4 linked regions of the Yarrowia lipolytica genome follow. Each later gene encodes a partner of the first gene's protein in a complex. Links are inferred from orthologs where the notes say so. Each region holds a gene or a part of one and is shown on either strand. Other genes may lie near its edges.

Region 1 (4,758 bases):
AATGACACGCCTGAGGCATGTCGATGGACGTCGTTCTTGCTCCTCCGCTCTTCCATACTCACACCTTCTCTCCACTGCCCTCCTCAAACTTGTAGACGGTTCCGTACATGACGTAGTCGTAGTCGTCAGCCAGACTCTTTTCGCCCACCTTGGGTTCTCTCCAGCCAGAATAGGTGGTCTCCTTGTCGGTCAGCTGGGAGGCCAGAGCCACGGTCACCACGTCGCCCTTGGACATGGGGAACAGCTCTGTATTGACATCCAGAGTCAGATGGATGTCGTCATGATTCAGGCTCTGGGCGGTTATTCGTGAGACCCGGTCGTATCGGGCGGAGTCCACAGACGTGGTTTTGAAGGAATCCTCGAATAAAGTAGACATTGTGCTGTTTTCAAAGATCCGAAGTTGACTATCCAGAGTGTTAGGTGCCGAGAGTCTCGTCTTGTTGCCCTCTGCTGAAATTTTAAACTTACGCTTTTTCTGCAGGACACTGCTGGCTTTTTGACTTTTTTTTTCCACCGCACACCGGTAGGGTAAAGTGTCGGAAGACGCCTCCCGCACAGACAAATATACCGCTTGTATGATACAATATGTAAGGGGGATGGATGGAGAGGCAACCGGGAGTGTGTCGGGGCGCGAGCAGACACACGAGAGCAATGGTTTGAGTTTTCGAGCCTGTGGTTTGGGGCTTTTTTCCTCTTGGCAGCAAGTATAATGGTATGACTCGTCCCCGGTCTTACACATGTTGTTTGTCTGTCTACTTGCCTTCCATCTCTTAGATTCATAGAAACGGTGTAGATCTCTTTTTGAGTGGAGACCAGGCCGGAGAGTTGCCATATAGCTGACTAAGCAGTACCGTGAGTCCGTCGACGGGTGCGAGTTCAGTACAAGTCCTCGTATTTGTTGTCTTCTCTTCACCATTATCTGCTAGTACAAGTACATATTGTAGCTACAGTAAGCAGTTTATTTGGGACTACATGTTGGACCACATGCAATGTCCGATGATGTCATAATGGACATTTTTACCAGGGTGCTGTCTTATAATTATTGTACAAGTGTAAATCTCTTGTGTGCTGTCGTTTAAGTAGCAAGACTACTCTCGGTTGTACACACGTACAGTAGGCGAGTACTTGTAGAATGACCCATTATTGACGCCAACCGTTTCATAGCGCTATAGATCATGTCCATAGGCTGTAGACGTCGGAAGGTATGCGGGATAAGCCGTCTGATAACCACCGCGATCACCCTGTCGTACTCCCTGCTGCCAAGAAATCTTTCAGTATGAGTACAGTACGAGTGCGAGTAGTGTACGTCCTCAAGTGCAGTAGTTGCTGTCACCATGCTGGCAGAGGTGGTCATCTCTTTCACAGTTGAGATCAGCCTTTCAAGTGACTGGGGGACGTAGTGATATAGACAATTTTAGCTGGTCAACTTTCCATTCGTAGAGGACTGCTGCCGTAGCTTCACCTAGAGTGCTTCTGTTACAGCAGTGTCGTAAGTCCATTAAATGAGCACTTGGTCACTCAGATGTAGACTTGGTCACTCAGATGTAGATTTGGGATACTTCCGACTTGCCCTGGAAGACCGTTCGAGTATTAGACGTGTGTATCCTATGCGTTAAACGCTTGTGCAGTTCCGTGGCTTGTGTGTGGTGCTAATGTGCTGATGTGCTGTGTAGCACGAGCTATCCGTACAGTGAAATGTTCTGGCGCCCTTAAAATCACTTTTTTGTACTTCCAAACCCGCCAAAGCCCATGGCGGCCATCATTTCGTCGTCAGCTCCTTCTTCCACCTTTTCCTCTCGTTTCTGTCGCTTTCGATCCTTCTTCTTCTTCTTCTGTCGCTCAATCAACTGTTTTCTGGCACTGATCCGAGCGTTGATATCGTAGTCCAACTCCTTCTCCTGGGCGCGTTTTCGCTCCGTCAGCCACTTGAGCCGCTTCTGAACATCCTCCAGCGTCGATTGTCGGGGTCCGTCCGTCTCTCCAATCTCATACAAGTGCTGTTTACTGTTGAGATGGTCGATCCATTGAATGGAGTCTTTGTATGTGAGGTTGCACACTTCACAGTAGAAGCCAGCTCCTTTTCCTCGTCTTCCCACCGAGGCCGTGGCGGGAACCAGCTGGAGAGTGTTCAACCCTTCGTTGAAGTCGATCCGCTCAGTTCTTGCCGACATGCTTGAGGTGAAAGATGAGATGATGGGCTAAATAAAATATCCATGATATGCAGGTGGATGGGTGAACTTTATCGTAGAGTGGTCTGGATGTAAGTATTTAGTTAAAAAAAAAGGGGGTTTACTCGATTTATACTTAGGTGAAAAATATAAAACAAAGCAAACACTCATTGAATAACTACTGTAATGACAGAGAGGGGATATCAAAACAATCCAAACAACTGAAAACAGGAAGAAACCTACTGAAAGCACTACATATCAGTTATATATACAATTGAGAAACACCCATTGTCGTTTAGTCGCGTTACCTTCCCCCAGAAAGACTTGTACCATCCCAGGGTCCTGTCCTACACTACAATCTCAGTCAGTATCTCAATCTATATCTATTTACTGCTTAAGGTGAATGCCTCGGGCATGAAGAGCGTCCTTAACATTGTCGTAAACCACGTCAGGGTCCTGCTTGCAGTCGACAACCACGACTCGGTCCTGGGTCTCAAAGTAGTCGACGACAGGCATGGAAGTCTCGATGAAGGTCACGAACCGCTTTCGGATGGACTCGATGTTGTCATCGGTTCGGCCCGAGGTCTCGCCTCGCTTGAGCAGACGCTTGAGCATGACCTCCTCGGGACACTCGAAGAAGAGAGTGAACTTGGAGACGGCCACGTCCTCCTCGAACTTGAGGGCCTGGTCCATCTTTCGGGGGAAGCCATCAATGAGGAATCGGGTCTTGCCCTTGGCCACGCTCTCCTTCATGGCGTTCTTGAGCAGGCCAATGGTCACCTCCTGGGGCACAATGTCTCCCGCCTTGATGCAGTCGGCGATGAGCTTGCCGTACTGCGAGTTGGGTCGAGACTGCTCCTCTCGCAGCAGATCACCGGCAGACAGGTGCACAAAGCCGTACTCGTTGACCAGCTTCTCGCACTGGGTGCCCTTGCCGGCTCCGGGGCCTCCTAGCACAAAGATGACGGAGACCTCGTTGGGGCCAAACGCGGCCTTCTTGTACTTGGATTTGGTCTGCTGGACCATCTGGTTGTAGTCCTCCTCGGTGATCTCGGCCACCACGGGCTTCTTGTCGAGCTGCTTGGCCGCCCACATGAAGAAGGCGGTGGTGGCTCCAAAGGCAATCACCAGCTTGACAGGGGTCGGCATGGCGCCCTGGAGCAGCTCGTGGGACGCGTATTTTCGGGCCATGGGGCTGGGGCGGTTCATTCGGCCCATGGTCCGGGCCAGGTGCGAGATTCGGCTTCGGAACATGATGTTTGTGTGTGGTGGTGTCCGGGCTTGATTTGCTGTAGGAGTGAAATTTGACGGAGCTGCAGGGTGCGTGTAAACCGCCGCAGCTCTTAAGTACCGGCGGGCGACGGTCTCAGCACAGGCAGCAGAACAACGAGCAAACATGGCCGTGCGCGAAAACTGGGACTTTCCATTGGTGAACAGAGGGAAGTGGAAACAAAACGGGGGAGCACACGACTATATATATACACGCTGCCTTTCTCACAACGGCTTTTTTTTATGTTGACGTGGGAGGTCATAACCTTGACAATGGTGCGTTTGGTCAGGGGGAAGCAACATTAATAAAACTACGAGTACACTGTAGTTGTAACAGAGTCCTGGTGAAACCGATTTGTGGTCTTGTCGGACTTGTCACGTGATATACATTACTCATTACGTCAGCCCCACGGTCTCCCGGCACTACAAGTACTCCTCCTGTTCTTTGGTTCAATACCAAAAAAAAAAAAAAAAACACACACATTCCAAGCAACCGATAGAGTTGGAGCCCAAAGGATAGAGAGAGATAGACAGACGCAACCATGACCAGCCTTGGCGGTGGTGGAGATTTGTGGAAGGAACAAGTAAATGATAGAGACACAAATGGGGATGCAAATGTGTTGTTTCTTCCGTCCCATTGTCGCTCGCTCGTGTTGTTTTTCAGAAGCACCTCTTTTCCCACCCAGAGCGGCTCGTTTGTCATTGTCACTGGCTCGTCGCGTCTATCGCGTAATTTGGAGATCCATGGTTAAACACTCAAGTCAATGTCTAAAGGCAAACTGGTCGTGACGGAGTCAACCTCAAACTTTGAAGAGAAGATACGGCCTACAGTTACTTGTACGGTACTTGTACTTGTAGACTGTGTGTGTGTTGGTTGAGTGGTTGTAATGGCAGTGTGACATGTTGTCAACTACTGTAGCTGTGTAGGTACTGCCTAGTATCGTGCATTCATAGTCGTTAGAATGCAATTGACAATCGTCGTAGTCCTTCAAACCATCACAAACACCCCTAAAGAGCCAGCTGCTTGTTGACCAGATCGGCCACCTCCTTCTGACGCTCCTCAATGAGCGAAATCTCGCGCTGGTACTGCTCTAGCGTCAGCTCAAGATCAGATTTGCGCGCGTCCATGTCTACCTTGCGCTGCTTGATGGACTCCACTACATCTGTCAGAGACGGAATCTCCGGCACCGAATGCAGCTTTTTCAGCGCCAGATTATGAGCCTCGTGATCAGTGGACTCCCGGTACTTAGTTTCCGACGTGGAGTCATCCTTGAATACACCCGACGACCGGAACTGCGACTTCTCCCATCCTCTCCTGTCC
Region 2 (5,005 bases), on another chromosome or scaffold:
AACATCGTCGGCGGTCATGACGTTGATGGCAGCAATGACGGCGTCGATGGAGCCTCGAACCTGTCGAGTGGAGTCTCGCTCTCGGAGGGTGACAGAGTTGTCCTTGACAGTGTCGAAGTCGACGGTAATACCGAAGGGAGTTCCCATTTCGTCGTTTCGGGCGTATCGCTTACCGATAGAGGCAGAAGAGTCGTCGACCTTGGCGGAGATTCGGGCCTGTCGCAGCTTCTTGGAGACCTCCTGAGTGAAGGGGGCCAGCTCCTTCTGGGAAGAGAGAGGAACAACAAGAACCTTAGTGGGGGCAATTCGAGGAGGGAAAGAAAGCACACCCTTGGCTCCGGAGGCGTCCTCGGGTCGAGTCCAGAAGCAGTGCTCGATCAGAGAGTAAAGGATTCGTCCGATACCGAAAGAAGGCTCGATGACGTTGGGAGTGTAGTCTCGAACGTGGGTGGTGATGGTCTTTTTCTCAATCTTGATGTGAGACTTGTCAAGCTCGGTGCCGGCAACCTCGACACCCTCAATCTCGGGCAGGACGATCTTGCCGGCCTCAAGAGCCTTGGCAAGATCCTCAAGCTCGCACTGGGTTCGGGACTCGAACCACTCCTCGACGGGCTTGGCGGCCTTCTTGAGCAGAGGACCAAACTTCTTCTTGTCGTATTCGCAGACAAACTTGTCCTCGACGAGAGGAGCGTCGAGCTTCTGCTGAACCTGCAGCTTGACCTTGGTTCGGGCCTCGTGCACAGACAGATCGTAGGCAGATCGGTCAGCACAGCCAACACACTCGATCCAGCCGTAGGAGGTGTGCAGCTCGGCATCCCAGCAGTCGGTGGCGTAGTGGGCCATCTCGTTGGACATGTGCTGTCGGAATCGGAGTCGGTCGGGGTTGACACCAATCTTGATCAGGAACAGGTAGATTCGAGCAAGGAAGTATCCGAGGGTCTTGTTGTCAACGAGACCGGTCTCAACGGCCTGGCCGATGGTCATCTCCTGGATGTCGGTCTTACCAGCGGACTGGACATCCTTGGCGAGGAATCGCAGCTTGACGTCCTTGACCTCGTCGAATCGGTGGTGGTCCTTGTCCAGAGGGTCGACAAAGTGCTCAATCTCGGCCATGGTGAACTCTCGGACTCGCAGCAGACCGGATCGGGGGGAAATCTCGTTTCGGAAAGACTTACCAATGGAGGCAGAGGCGAAGGGCATCTTGGTGTTGTTGCAGTCCAGCAGCTTGTTGAAGTTGAGGAACTGGCCCTGGGCGGTCTCGGGTCGCAGGAAGCCCTTGAGCTTACCGGAGGGGCCGATGGCAGTCTCGAACATGAGGTTGAACTCCATGGGCTTCTCAAGGGGACCGCCGGTGACGGGGTTGACGATCTTATACTTGTCCATGATCTCACCAAGCTCGGGGCCGGAGAAACCGTCAATCTTGGCAAGAATGGTCTCGTACTCCTCCTTAACATTGTCATCGAGCTTGATGGCCACAATCTCCTTGACCTTCTTCTTTCGCTTCTTGGCGGACTCGTCCTCAACAACGTCCTCCTTGATGCCTCGGGCCTCCTTGTCTCCCTTGAGTCGGGCCTCGAGCACCTCCTCGACCAGATGGTCGGCTCGGAAAATCTCGCCGGAGGCCAGATCTCGGCACATCCAGTCGGCAAACTTGTCCACGTGGCCAGAGGTCTTCAGAACCTCGTGGGGAGTCAGCATGGTGGTGTCGACCTCGAGCATGTCGTCCTCGAGCACAAAGTGATCTCGCCACGTGTCGATGATTCGGGTCTGGAGAGCACATCCAGGCGGGCCGTAGTCGTAAAGACCGGAAACACCGTCGTAGATCTCAAAGGCTGGGGCGTAGAAGAACCGTCGCTTGAGGACGGCATCAAGAGTCTCTCGGTTGAGCTCCTGGTCGGCGGGTCGGGTGGACATTCTAGCGGAAAAATTCGAACTGACTGAGAATTGACGTATAAAATGGGGGGTAGGAATCAGCTTCCTACGTAGCAGATTTAGTGAAGTCACAATGGCAGTAGTCGTAAGAGTGGACTGGAGTTAAATTTTCCAAACTTTGCACTCTTGTAAAAAAAAACAACGGGGTTTGGGAGTAACAAGAAAAGGGTGCGTGAAAGTGACCCCAGCGCAGTATGCATTTGCTGTCAATGAGAGATAGATGATAACGAGTCCCTCGTACAAGTCGTAGAGCAGGCGTGACTACACCGGAATTGTGTTTCCCGAGAGCTTGAATCCCATCACACATCTATAACAAAGAAAAGACGTCACTCTTTGTGACTCACCATGTCTCATCCATCACCCGTACTCGTACTTACATGACCCCCTCCGACAGGCCCTTCCTAGAGCCAGAATTAGTTCCTGCCTCAGATCATTGAAGGTTCTAGTGTGTCAATAAACACCAAAAGGGACCGACTGGACGCAGACATAGACAGACTTTGAACTACTTGTTGGACAATGCCATTCCACAGGGCTCGTTTTTTCTCGCCCGGTATCCCCTATGGGTTCATATTCGGCGATATTCCGGGCCTGTCCAATTGAGTTAGTCAGGGTTCCAGAGCATTTGAACAATGCAATGTAGAGTTTGAGGTTTGTACCCATATACGAAAATGTACTGGAAAATCAAATAACTTGGATATATGGTGGGTAGAGTGCCAGATATATAGCTATTGGGGGAATTTACCACATTTATGTTTTCCCGCGTCTGATCAAGTTATATTGTAAATCGAGTTGATGCACTTTTACTTGTATTCCTATTTAATTTGTATTCTATTTTATTTATATTATATTATATTATATTATATTCTATTTTATTTTATTTTTGTATTTTCCCACAAACCTCCCACTCACGTGACCTAAATATATCCCTACCTCTGCACCAACTCAGCACATTACACACACATCATGGGATCTATCTTGCTGCCTCACCTGAACACGGGCTGGCACGTGGACCAGGCCATCTTATCGGAGGAGGATCGACTCGTTGTCATTCGATTCGGCCGAGACCACGACCTCGAATGCATGAAAATGGACGACCATCTGTACTCGGTGGCGGAAAAGATCAGAAACTTCGCGGCCGTCTACGTGTGCGACATTGACCAGGTGCCCGAGTTCAACCAGATGTACGAGCTGTATGACCCAGTATCGGTCATGTTTTTCTACCGAAACAAACACATCATGTGCGACTTTGGCACCGGAGATAACAACAAGTTGAACTGGGTATTGGAGGACAAGCAGGAGCTCATTGACATCATCGAAACAGTCTATCGTGGAGCAAGTAAAGGTAAGGGTCTGGTGGTCAGTCCCAAGGACTATAGTACCAAACACAAGTTTTAGAGAAAGGTCTACTTGTCCACGACGGGATAACTCTGCATCATAGAAAGATTAGTAATTTATATGTAATATAGCCATAACTACGACGTGAACGGGAGTTCATAGCGTGCACCATGTGTTTGAGGAATGTATGCCATGTCTTTACAATCCCCTACGTACTCAGATCATCCAATAATATGCTGGTTACTATGTACTGTTTTTGCGCTACCAACGCCTTCTCCGTGTCTCCTTCTACGTCGCCTATTTCTTCTTCTTCAGGTCGGACTTCTTCTTCTGGACCTGAACTCCAGACTTGGTCTCGACGAAGTCCTGACCCAGCAAATCGGCAAAGTCGTCGTCGACCTCGCCGAAACCAAACTTCTCGTTGAACTTGGACATCTGCTTGCCCTCCTCTCCAGAGTCGGTCTTGAGCTCGGGCTTGTTGGGGTTCCAGAGATGCACGTTTCGCTGATCATTAATGGGCTTCAGCTGCTCCACGGGGGCCACGGTTCGTCGCTTGTAGGTGGAGCCGTCGGACAGCTGGACGGTGCACTCAAACTCGTGGAAAACGGGAGCGATGGTCTGTCCGAAAGCGAGTCGCTTTTGTCGCTTGGGCGCTCGCAGAATCGAGGCGTTTCTGGCGTTCTTGATTGTCGTCAGGGGGACGGTAGCTCGCTTGAACATGTTTGTGACTGTGAAGTGATGTACCGTGATCCGAAAATTCACTAACACAGTTTGGATGTTGCAGGGTTAGGTTTTTTTCAGACGAGGTAAAAATCAGCTATACAGGGGGTCGTGAGTTCGACTCTTTGGTATGAGCATAACAAGAGTGCTTCTTAAAAATACATTAAATACCGTAAAATACATACAAGTTGTACAAATAGTACTACCATTCCTTGTCCTCGTCCTTGCCCTCGCCCTTGCCCTCGCCATTGCCCTCGCCCTTGCCCTCGTCCTTGCCCGTATCCTTATCTTTATCCTTATCGTCAATTCGCTGCTGAGAAATACCCGACAGGTCTCGCAGGCTCTTGACGTTGTTAAGATGAAGACTGAACATGTTGAGATCAGGGTCCTCCACAGGGGGCTCCGAAGAGGATTCGGTAATAACAGCCGCCTCTGTAGTCTCGGGCTGCATCTCGGGGTCCACAACCTCCACAACGTCCTCTTCGTCGTCCTCAGCAACCTGATTCTCTTCAACATCACCTTCAGGTCGCTGCTCTTCCTCGGCGTCAAAGATGGCCTGCACGGTTTCGTTGGAGTTCTCCCTAAGAATAGTTCCTCGGACCTTGGCTCGGAGAGCCTTTCGAATCTTGCTGATGTCATTGTACTCGAACCAGCCGTCCAGAACGTCGTACTTGGCTCGAACAGGGGCACTGTGGATTTTCTCGTACAAGAGAGGGTCAGTAATGTCGCACAGCTGCAGAGTTTGCGACTCGGGAGGATGAATTCCGTCAAAGACATACGGCAGGGGAAGTGCCTTTTGAGCAGCAGGCTGAACGGGAGGGGCAAGACCGGCCAAGTCATCCTCCACCTTCTCAGTCTTTTCGTCTTGGTTGTCGCTGATTCGAAAAGCTTCTGTCTGGTAGAACCGCATGCTGGGGTCAGTTCTGGGGTCCTTTCCATATACCACATAGGCTCCTCTCCAGGGTCCAGATCGGAAATAGTAAGCCACATAGGGCAATGCGAATCTGAGAATGTGTTT
Region 3 (5,448 bases), on another chromosome or scaffold:
ATCTCCTGTTGAATCACAGCAGCTCGATGCTTGACCCAGTACACGACAGGGTTTGTGGTAACCTGAAGCTCTAGCAGCCTACTGATACTGGGGAGATGAGATCCAGCAGGAGCAGCTTCCAGTTTCGTCCAGCATGACTTTTCGTATTCCTCGATGATATCCTCCACGTCGTTCCACATTCTATCGGTCATGTGGACGGTAGTCATGTCTCCCAGTTGCTCTGCCTGTGCCATACGTTCGTTCTTGGTCTCCTTGCCTCGTTTGTAGTCTCGCATGAGATTCTCATGGTCTCCAGCCTTGATGTGTGCTCTGATTGTCGAGGGTAGCTCGAAGAGATATCTGTTGGCCGTCACCATCTCCAGAGCAGCCTGTAGCCGTTCTTCCTTGAGTCGTGTGTTGAAGACGGGATTCATCAGGATCGCAGCTTTGCTGTTTCCTTCATCTAGCGACTGTGTCAGCTCTCCCATGCCCCACTCGTTTTCCTGGGTGAACCCGGACGACTTGAATTGCTTGAATACCGAGTCCAGGTAGCTCTTACTCTTGACGAACTTGTCAAAGTTGCGGTCCACGAGGGTTTGCAGGGCGGAGCTTTGCTCGGTAATTGAAGCCTCCAGGTGGTCCAACGATTGAGCAAGGGTGTCGAAAGAGGCGTCCGCATGCACGTCTCGCAGAAACACTCGGGGATTGAAGTCTCGTGACGAGATAAAGTACTGGTTAGCAATGGCCGGAGACTCGCTGCAATCGACGCCCTTTTTACGTAATTGAGTCATGACCGAGGCCGAAAATCCCAGTGGATCAGCTTCGTCGTCGGTGATGGCGTGTCTGCTGTGTTTGTTGCCGCCAACGAGCTGGTTCAGCAGCACATATCGAGAGGTGTTGACGGACGCTGATGCTGCTCCTGATTTCGTCTCTTGAGCAGGATCGGCCTCGGGCAGCACCGACAGATCAAAGTTTTCGCTCTCCGTAAACGTCTCCGGATAGTCCTCGGAGATGTTGTACTTGGCGTAGATGGCCGCCTTGTTCATTTTTGGGAGCGAGTTTGGTGATGTGTTAGTCGTGTAGCCGACTCCAGAATGCGTGATAACGTATTAAGGTGTTGGGAGGTATTTACGTGTGCTTAAGCCCCGGAAAAGCTGAGATGACAGGACACGGAGAAAAAGGAGGTATAGGAACTGATGAAATGATTAATTGTTTAATGAAGCCTGGGTTTTTGGTTTCAGTGAATTATTTAACGAAAACATATCGCTTTCGGAGCAATTTGGGGACTATGAATGATTGACACACAGTCAAGAAACACCATTAGGGTTAACCCCACTAATTAGTTGCAGATGAGATGAAATGTGAAGAAAATTTAGGGAATGTATTTGTATGATTTGAGATGTATTCGAGGTCTTAAAAATAGTAATGGATGAATTATAAGACCTTAAGAGTATTATACGTGCCCATTTGGTCTCGTACTCCCTCATTATACGGACCCCTCGCCTTCGTTTTTTCTTCCAGCCTGATAATTACTCTATCATGACCATATTTACTTGGCCTACAATATTGCTACTGTAGACAAAATTCCCACAGAAGTTACAGTACAGTACCGATACCTGTGCTGTACTCGTACTATCGTGCTCGTGCTCGCAATATCTATTTTACATTCATCATTACATCTAGCCAGCAAATACATACATCATCTTCCTCGTCCCCGTCCGCCCCGGCCTCTGCTGCTTCGCACAGCAGCCAGAGTCTGAGGCCGAAACATGGGCGCGTTCTTCAGCATCTCGGGGATGGAAAAGAACCGCACGTGGGATCCTCGGATGTAAACCTGCTCGAGATGCGACACTCGGCCTCCTCGCGCAGTGACGGTCACGTCTCGAATCTGCACGTTCATGTTATCCTCCGCTGAGTTAGTATGGTGGTCTAAGGGGAAAGTGTTTGGCAGTATATCCAGGTTTCTGAGAAACAGCTGCGAGCCGCATGATCTCGTTTGTTGAAATGAAACGTTTATGCTTGCTTATGGTCGTCCTCTGATAAGCCACGGTCGATTTCAACTCCATCAATGCAGCGACACATAACAAATGGTCCATCTTTCCGCGTAAACCGCTCCATTGAAGCTCCGTTCAGCAGCTTGCCCTATCTGTCGTCTAACCTCCACGAACAATTCGGTCTCTGCGGCACAATCACATGGTGCTAATTTAATATCACATGGATACCCAGCTTCGCGAGATTCTGAGCGAGCGAGCAACACCAAGCTGAAGCGAGGTCCTGACTCCGCTGACATCCCTCAAGTTGCCACAATACCCTTATTCTGTACTCACCTTCAATCAATTTTCCCCGATAAGTGTGTCCTGAAGTGAGCTCAACGGTGACAACATGACCCTGTGTTAGTTATGTTCTGGGGTGTGTGGCGACACAAAAGTCGTGCCCATACGCCATTTGCTGCATCATGTCAACTCCTCCTCTGTTTTTCTTTACTCACCTGAGCCTCGCTGAGGAGTTTTAATGGAATTCCGCCAGCTCCCATAGTGTGATGTGTGGTGCTGCAGAAATGTTCATCGGGATAGAGTTGGTGTAGCACACGAGGAGTGGTGGCGAGGCTAAACTTTTAGAATAGGGAAGAGTGCTACGAAATGCGATATATGGCTGACTGTTGGGGGTACAAGCTTCGTTTAACCGAATTATTGGTGAGAAAGAGCTCTCCGTGATTATGACAAGATAAACAAGTTCCTGTCAATATTAGTTGACGAAGAAGAACGAAAAAGGGTTCCAGTTTGTGACTATTGTAGCTATGGTATGTTCACTTGTAATTAGATAATTCGTCTGATCTCTTTTTCAGCAGTGTTTCATTCTTCTAAATTACCATCTTTTTTTATTACTGGGCTACATTGTTGTCTTTATATCGTCTTGTTTTTACGTGGTGGTTTTTTATTTATTTATATACAGTATCATCATATATTGTACAAGTGAATTGTACAATTTTTATAACATAATATAAGTATGTATTGTACTGTACATTCTGTATATTGTACAATTTTTTTTTTCTGCATATACATTCATTTAATTATACAAGTACAAGTACAAGTAGCTACTGTATAATTATACTGTATGTAATTTTTTGGCCTGTCTTATCCCCCTGTTCACATTTTAAGGTGACTATCAACTGACGTTAATCAGCCATGTACAGAGATCAGATATCCAGGATGATATAGCGCCAGGCCGAAACATGCTGGGAAAAGCAAATCGTCAACTTTCTGACCATGAGAGAAGTAATTCTCACATCTCCCTTAATCAGCATGAATGTTTCTACAGATAATCTACTTCCCAGCATTCATACAAATACTGTATTCACATTTTGTAGGTCCTATGGAACTCCATCCAACTACCCTCCATTAAGCTCGCTGGACATCTGCATGCACAGCTCAGCTCCACATCACCAACACCAGCCCTACAAGTAATTATCGCACCAGCATGGACTTTCCCCCGGAACCTAACCGAGCTGTGGAAAGCGAAAAGTTTGCGGTCGAGCCCGTGCAGTTCCAGTTCGCCATCTCGTCGATCGTGGCTCTGGCGGTGGCCAACAACACTCTCTGTCTGGCGCTCAAGTCTGGGCGAATCATTCGAATTGACCTCGACAACCCCGAAAGCGTGGATGACGTGGACGTCAAGGACGGCGGATGTGACATTGAGAACCTGTTTCTCGACCCCACCGGCTCCTACTTACTCATCGCCACCAAGACCCGCGACAATTATGTGCTCAACTACCAAACGACAAAGGTCAAGTCTCTGGGCCGATTGAGAGACCTGGCAATCACATGCGTGGCATGGTCCCCCATCGAAAGCTCTCTGAGCTCAGGAGAGGTGCTACTGGGAACGGCAGACGGCTGCGTCTACGAGACATGCTTGGAGTTCTCGGACGAGTACTTCAAGCGGGAAGACAGATACGTGCGCAAGGTAGCCGAGTTCAAAGCTGCCGATAGCCACGTGGTGACACCCATCACCGGAATCGTTGTTCAGCTCGGATCCAGCCCAAATTACAGAAAAATCATTGTGACAAACGCCAATGGACATGCCTACTATTACTCTGGCAAGATCTCTGCCCACCTGCAGGACGGTATTCCCGTCTACACCAAGTTCTTTGAGCGTGAAGAACACGTAGATCAGGAGTTTGGTGCCGATAACGGAAGAGCTGCCATGTTGTCAGCCACTCCTCCTGACCCCAAGTCCTCATCTTGGGCCTTTGCTCTGCTTTCAGAGGTCGGTATTGTGCACAGAACAATCAAGAAGGACGAAAATGACACTTTGGAGTCACGGAAGACCTTCTTTCAAGGATCCAATATTTACATTCTCAACCAGATCCAGGAATCTTCTATTGTGGGTATGTGTCTGACCAGTTTTCATATGGCCATTGCTACAGAAACCAAGCTGTATATTGTCAATCGGTTCTCTCATGAGCTGGTGTTTGAGCAGCATGTTACCCAGGGCAATGAGACTCTTACCGGTCTCACAGTTGACCCCAAACAACACACCTTTTGGTTGTTCTCAGCTGAAAACATTTACGAAATCACTGTGGACGACGAGTCTCGAGGAATGTGGAAGCTGGTGCTCGAACAGGGTGATCTGGACGAGGCTATGCGGTTGTCTGAAAACGACCCTGATCCCTCTTCTCAGGATGAACTGCTAGGTATTCTGGGAGACAAGCAAATCCAAGAGAAGGACTATCTTGGAGCAGCCAACACCTATGGAAACTCGCGAAGACGCCCCTTGGAACAGACTGCATTGTTGTTCTTGGATGCGAACCAGCCTGAGGCACTGCTCAAGTACCTTCAGAACAAGTTGACCGTCTTTCCCAAGGCCAATGTCACTCAACGCCTGCTTGTGTCCACATGGATCATCGAGTTGTTTATGGAGCAGTTCAACAAATTGGATGATCAGGAGGCCACCTCGGACTCCCCTCTGGATGAGCAGCGTCGAATCCTGTCGACCAAGTTCCACGACTTTATTACCAAATACAAGGGCGATTTGCATAAGGGAACCGTGTTTGAGATCATGAGCGTCAACGGCCGACAGGAGGAGCTGCTATATTACGCTGCAGCTATTCAGGATTACAACTTTGTTCTGCAATACTGGGTTGGTCTGGAGAACTGGTCCAAGGCTCTTCAGGTGCTTCGACAGGTCAAGGCTGAAGAAGACCGTGCATTGCTGTACAAATACTCGACGGTTCTGCTGGTGCATGCTCCCAGAGATACCGTTGACACGTGGATTGTGATAGGAAAGGAGATTGACCCCACGAAAATGGTTCCTGCTCTGTTGAACTACTCGCAGACTGTCAGACCTGGCAAGGTTGCCAGTGACCAGGCTGTGCGGTACCTGAAAAATGTTGTGGGAAAGCAGGGATCTCGTGATGCTATTATTCACAACACTCTCATTTCTTTGCTTTCTATGTCTCCTCAGACTGAAGAG
Region 4 (5,834 bases), about 830 kb from region 1:
CTTCTAATCGTCACGATGTTTTCAACTTCAACTTCATACCCCATTAACCAAGAACTGACCTATTTATTCACTCATTTATATAGTCAATGATATTTATATTTATTCACCTAACCCATGTGCAAACCACTTGTCAAATCTACAACACAGTCTCCATCTCAACATCATCGTCATCATCGTCTGCACCATCGTCTTCCTCCTGGGCACCTGCAGAATTGGACAGCTGCTTGTACTCCTGTTGCAGGGAGTATTTCATGGCATAAGGACCAGACTTGTTGAGAACAGCCATGCTATCGAGTACCTCTCGAAGGTACACTTCAGGCTGCTTGGTTCGTTCCTTAAGACCCTTGAGCGACCAGTAGGGGTACTCTTCGAACAGCTTGAAGAGGATATCCAGAAGCGCAGATCGCTCGATCCGAACGGCCTTTCCGTCCAGCTTGATATCCTTCTTCTGGGCCTTCATGAAGTGCGACTGAGAGCCAGTGCCACGCAGGTTGGGGGCATTGGAAGAAGCCACCACGCCGGGGAGGTCGTTGAGCAGAGTGACTCGGGCAGCAGGAGGCTGTTGCAGTCGCTCCTTTCGCTTCTGAATGACCTTTTTGTAATTTGCGTCCTTGAGTGACGGCACAACTGTGCATTCGTGGATTACTCGGCCGGCCAGCGCCGTTTTCTTGGGGATTGTTCGTGCAAATGGAAATGCTGATGGCTTTGAGACCTTTCCTGCTGACGATGACGCTGCCGACGACGACGAGCCGGCTCCACTACTGCCGGCCTCCTCCTTTTCTTTTTCCTTTTCCTTCTTCTGCTCCTTCTCCGTGAACACAAACGTGTTGTTGACCACCTCCTTGACGATATCCAACTCATACTCATGTGGAATCTCACTGTTTTCGGGCGTATCACTTAGGCGCAAAGACACCTTTTGTTTCTCGCCGGGAGCTGTGTTTTCCTTGATCAGCACCTGGCCGAGTCGCTTGTTAGTGTGTTCATCCAGATGGCTCCACTTGTCCACCAAAAACTTGGGCAGTCGCACCAACCATACCCGGTTTTCGAGTCCCGCAGTATCCAGGTCGAAAGATCCATCGTCGGCATCAACAGGAGGAGGAGGAATCTTAACATCTTCCTCTTCGGGCTTGACCTCAGATTTCACGTTCATCTTGTCTGTGCGAATGTCGTGAGGAAACGATGATGGAAATGTATCTATCTCGATCAGCGAAACCGCCAAAGTGCTGAGGTTCTGCATATATGAACTTTCTTGGTGAAGTTTAAATATGGTACCGTAGGTAATGTATGGACATGTACCTAATGATGGGTGATTGAAGAGTTGCGGGTATAGTTTTTCCGAGATATTCTTCTCGAATTACTGGTATATATTTGCTAGACTACCTTTTTTCAGTTTTAATGGTCATTGCATGCCCCAATTGTGTGGTCGTGGTGACAGTTTGGGTTGCTCTCGATGGTCAACTATAGAGCTGTCAAACGAGAGGAATAACAGTTGGAAAGTTAGTTGAAGTATGAGATGCTCCAAGTTCGAGTTCTGTTCAAGTCGATTCAAACAAAAGCCCCATCTTGACACCAGTTTGGGTCCTCTTTGTGTGCTATAATACGAGTATTAAAGAGGATATTAATCAGCTTGGCCAGTAACGAAGGTTGAGGAAGGACTTCGGAAGGCTCCAATACCCCATTGTTACTAAGCATTAATGCAAAGCATTATTACTAAGCAAAAAAACTTACATTGTCGCCACCTTAGTAAGCTGCAAAAAACAGAGATTGCAGCACCCAGGATTCTCGTATGGTCTCCCACTACAATACTAACTAGGCTCTCTGGTGCTTGACTATGGCTGATCGGACGGGAAGCCGTATTTTCACCAGGATATGGCCGCAACCGTTAGGACCAAAAACCGTTAGACTGTTTTGAGAAGACAGATTAGTCACGTGATCGCAAAAGTTGGTGTCAATTTTAGACCCTTTGAAGGGGGATTTTTGGTATAAGAAAGGGATATGTATGCTAAGCATGACTCTGCGCATGTCTCTGTGCCACTCGCAATCAATGATATCGACGAAATATGTTGAAATTGAGACATATTATGATGTTTGGGGTGGATTGTCCAAGTTCCCACTGTACGCACGAGTATGTACTGTATTCTGGAATATTAGCAATAGTACACACGCAATTGGGCAGCAGAATGATCACAAATGTGCAATTCAATTGAATTTGACCCCATAACCCTCTCCGTATCTCTCGCGCGCACATCTGCACCGGATCTCCACCTTCATGGTTCCGTTTCTTCCCGCATGTGCTGCTTTGTCGATCAATACAATCAGCCGAGGGTCGGCAATCACATTGGGCGTTCTCATAACTGTTGATCCGCTAGCAATAGAGGTCAGCTCACCTTTTTGCCTTTGATCTAACCCAGAAGTCTCGGGTTCAGGCACCCTGAGACACACAGCTCACCTATACCTGCGCAGCAGAGTTCACCGCCGTTAGACCGAACTGCAATCAAAGTAACTTTCCGAGGAAGAGTTGAGGGGAATATGAGCGGTCTGTCAGTGAGTGTAGAAGAGACGTATGTAAGAATACATGTACACAAGGTCGAGTTCATCGATGTATCTTAGGTAGTGGCCTCGAGAAGAGATTCAGAGCTACAAGATGTTGTTTCTGGACGGCATATTTCGAGTGAAGGTCAGAGTTACTTGCGCTTAAAACTAACTAGTTCTATTGTCCTTGTTGAAAGTTACTTAATATGAACTGAAAAAATCCCATTGGTTGAGTGTGAGGAGAAGTTCGGACTAAAGCAACGAGACGTGGGCAAGAGCGTTACAAGGATAGTATGGAGTCTTCCAAGAGTGTGAAAATTGCATGTTTGTATCGGAAAAAGGTTTTCTGACTAAGCAACTGCCTCGATTTCTCATTTTCAAGGCGACTTGGTGGTGTCGCCTACCTCTCCATATCTGGTCATGGTCGTGCCTCGATAAAGTTGGCAGAGGAAAAAAAGAAGAACGCTGTTTTTAAGGTTGGCACAAAATGTGTTCTGCAGCTGCATAGATGTATGTGCAGCATCGCAAAAAAACGCTACTTCATTCACAACACACAAAAATGGATTTTGCAGCACTGATTCAGGGCGAAATCTCCAAGAAGAAAGCTGGAACGGGAGTGGCAGACTACGGCTGTAAGGCAGCGGCTCCCAAGCCCGCCCAGACGACAGTTTCCGACAACTCAGACGACCTCAAGCGCCTGGAACGGCTGAAGCAGATGAAGCGACAGAGAGAACTTGACCGGGAAGAAGAGCGACTTGAGCGAGAAGAGGCCAAGAGAGCCAAGCAGGAATCTTTGGCCAAAGCACCAGCTTCCACAACATCTACCGTATCGACAGAGCATGATGTGGCAACATCGGAACCAATAGAGACAGTGGAAGAAATGGCTGCCAATGACGCGAGAACAAACGTGCGAATCGACTGGAGTGACGTAGCCACAAAGAAGGATGCCACAAGGGATTCGGAGACCAAGAAAAAGCTCGCCATGCAGCTGAGAGTGTTTCTGGCACGGTTATTGAGTGAATGGGAGGGTACTTTGGATAAGGGAGCTGCAGCCCAGGCCAGTGGAGCGGCCGAAGAGGTCTCCGAGGCAGCAAACGCTTACAAGCGACACACTATCTTCGAAGAAACGCAGACCTCTCTATCTTCTCTCATGGTCTTATTACGACACAATGGTCTCCAAGACGAAGTTCTGGCTATGCTTTCAAAGGTCATGTACCATGTGCAACATGAGGAACACCACCAGGCCTATGATGTCTATCTTAAATTGTGCATTGGAAACGCCTGTTGGCCCGTTGGAGTGGCTTCCATTGGCATTCACGCTAGAGCGTCTCAGAACAAGACTATTGCTTCAGCCCGAAACTCGAAGCAGGTGGCACACATTGTCAATGATGATACGAGGCAGTGGCTTGTGTGCATTAAACGGCTATTGACCTTTGCTGAGGGCTACGAGAGTTGTGTGAGAAAGGCTTTGTTGACTGTTGTGGATATGGAGGATCGGGGGAACCGAGTCAACGAACCGCGAGGAAGGGATGTCAAGGGGACAGTCCTGGAGGAGGCTGGGGTTGATGGCAATTCCGAGACTGACCAGAATGCTGAGGTTGAACAGAAGGAAGCCTCTGAGTAAGTAACCTCCTGTCCTGTGCTCTGCATCATGGGTCGTGTGTTGATTGCTAGAGAGAAGCTGCTTCCACCCATTAAATTATTAATCATTGTATTTTTTGCATTTTGTTGTCTGTTTTGTGAAATGGTTAGTCAGAGTCTCGCCGGGTAGCATTGTATTGTTCTGTCTTGCAATGTAGAGCTACAAGCCGTGGGATTGCAGTAAACCAGATCTGTAGACAAGAGGGTAGCAAGACTCATACAAGTAGAACTGCCGGGGCACACAATACATTTTCGGATTGTGTCAGCTCTTCTTTTTGACTTACTGTCCGTCTGATTACACCATATTCGGGTTGACAATGTCAACTCGTTGCAAGGATGTGTTCTGACAGACATGACAAAAAGGCATACAAAACCAAATGAGGAGCTTGGTTAAGAGCACAAGCTAGATTGATCTAAAAGATTTCATTCTTTTTCTTTTTTTAATCCCCCTCCTTTCAGATCTCTTGAAGATGCCATATCTGTTTTCCCCAATTGGACATGTCAATAGAATCCATGCATGGAAGGTCAAAAATTTCCTGAACGGGAACGGACAATGAATCACAGAGATGATTCTAGACAAGACCAGTATCGAAGCAATTTGGTAATCACCCAAGTTCATTGACGGATCTGTTTTGAAACGTGAATGTGACAAAGCCTCCCTGTTGCCTTATGTCTATAAGTAACAGTACAATCCCTCCCGTGAAGTCCATCAAACAGAAAGAACCACTACTACAACAACTAACACAATGAGCAAGGCTATCCCTCGAGCATATGGCACCGACTCCTACCGAGTCAACTCCAACGTTACAATTGTTGGCGGATACCGAACCTTCCAACCCTCCTCTTGTGTGATTGCCTAACCGAGAGTCGAGTTTCAAATCGCACACATGTTGGACATATCGATAATTGATTGGACATATCAAAAAATGACTACCTATGTAGGCTAGTAGACCATGACGTAGTTGGGCCCGCGATAACATACAGAGACATGCTCTTGAATCTTGGTTCTATTACACATACCTAAGAATACATGAGTTGTACTGTGCAAGACAATGCCTACAAAGCCCACCCCGACGATAATCAATAAAACAAATGCATTACTCTATCACCTCCTTCCCATCATTGTTCCCCATTGGCCGTCTACTTTCGGTTCTTCTTATTACTGTTAACGTATCGTCCTCGACCAACCTTGACACCAGTATGTCTGGTAGCTTCTCGAGCAGAACCAGTGGCAGCAAAGGGAGACATGACATTCTCGGCAGAGCCTCCTCCGATCCAATGATCGAGAATCTTCTCGTTCTGTCGACGCTTCCATTCGTCGCTCTTGATGGCCTTGGCGTACTCCTTCTGGTCCTCTCTCAGCAACACATCGTTGAACTCGGGCTGTCGCTGGTGTCGACTGTTCTTTGACTGGGGCTTGGGCAGAGTGTACTTGTTGCCTCGGGTCGACCAGTTCATCTTCTTCTTGAGATGCACCTGGATCTTGCCGTCGTTTCCAACCGTGACGGAACATCGCATCAGCGTGTTTCCTCCACACTTGGGGCAAAAGTGCTTGACGCTACCGTCCTTGGGATAGGGCAGAAGATGGAAACATCCATGGCATCGCAGCATGGAGTTTCGGATTCGCTGAATCTGTCGGCCATTGGTAGCGTTCACAAGAA

The links. Proteins that work in one complex are often made in the same cells at the same time.
Region 2: YALI1_F12983g (region 1) and YALI1_E17583g share a complex: the UniProt entries of both Saccharomyces cerevisiae proteins name them as parts of the U4/U6-U5 tri-snRNP complex. The link is inferred for Yarrowia lipolytica from reciprocal best matches to the Saccharomyces cerevisiae genes SNU23 and DIB1.
Region 3: YALI1_F12983g (region 1) and YALI1_A19974g share a complex: the UniProt entries of both Saccharomyces cerevisiae proteins name them as parts of the U4/U6-U5 tri-snRNP complex. The link is inferred for Yarrowia lipolytica from reciprocal best matches to the Saccharomyces cerevisiae genes SNU23 and SMD3.
Region 4: YALI1_F12983g (region 1) and YALI1_F21279g share a complex: the UniProt entries of both Saccharomyces cerevisiae proteins name them as parts of the U4/U6-U5 tri-snRNP complex. The link is inferred for Yarrowia lipolytica from reciprocal best matches to the Saccharomyces cerevisiae genes SNU23 and PRP18.

The regions. Positions count from the first base shown.
Region 1 is NC_090775.1:1,295,790-1,300,547, reverse strand, and holds YALI1_F12983g (uncharacterized protein), read right to left. Parts: upstream 2,172-4,758; coding exon 1,716-2,171; downstream 1-1,715. Other genes in the region: YALI1_F13001g (uncharacterized protein), read right to left, coding at 63-376; YALI1_F12969g (uncharacterized protein), read right to left, coding at 2,556-3,566; YALI1_F12951g (uncharacterized protein), read right to left, coding at 4,446-4,758. UniProt on the Saccharomyces cerevisiae protein: Participates in pre-mRNA splicing. Part of the U4/U5/U6 tri-snRNP complex, one of the building blocks of the spliceosome.
Region 2 is NC_090774.1:1,755,463-1,760,467, forward strand, and holds YALI1_E17583g (uncharacterized protein), read left to right. Parts: upstream 1-2,895; coding exon 2,896-3,327; downstream 3,328-5,005. Other genes in the region: YALI1_E17574g (uncharacterized protein), read right to left, coding at 1-1,914; YALI1_E17594g (mitochondrial 54S ribosomal protein bL31m), read right to left, coding at 3,565-3,987; YALI1_E17613g (uncharacterized protein), read right to left, coding at 4,190-5,005. UniProt on the Saccharomyces cerevisiae protein: Essential role in pre-mRNA splicing. Also essential for entry into mitosis (G2/M progression) as well as for chromosome segregation during mitosis.
Region 3 is NC_090770.1:1,994,454-1,999,901, reverse strand, and holds YALI1_A19974g (uncharacterized protein), read right to left. Parts: upstream 2,513-5,448; coding exon 2,468-2,512; intron 2,368-2,467; coding exon 2,307-2,367; intron 1,891-2,306; coding exon 1,679-1,890; downstream 1-1,678. Other genes in the region: YALI1_A19989g (uncharacterized protein), read right to left, coding at 1-1,025; YALI1_A19965g (uncharacterized protein), read left to right, coding at 3,457-5,448. UniProt on the Saccharomyces cerevisiae protein: Plays a role in pre-mRNA splicing as a core component of the spliceosomal U1, U2, U4 and U5 small nuclear ribonucleoproteins (snRNPs), the building blocks of the spliceosome. Also binds telomerase RNA and is required for its accumulation.
Region 4 is NC_090775.1:2,124,866-2,130,699, forward strand, and holds YALI1_F21279g (uncharacterized protein), read left to right. Parts: upstream 1-3,040; coding exon 3,041-4,156; downstream 4,157-5,834. Other genes in the region: YALI1_F21224g (uncharacterized protein), read left to right, coding at 1-7; YALI1_F21261g (uncharacterized protein), read right to left, coding at 137-1,237; YALI1_F21315g (uncharacterized protein), read right to left, coding at 5,314-5,834. UniProt on the Saccharomyces cerevisiae protein: Component of the U4/U5/U6 snRNP, binding principally to the u5 snRNP. It is not absolutely required for the second step of pre-mRNA splicing at low temperatures but is required at higher temperatures.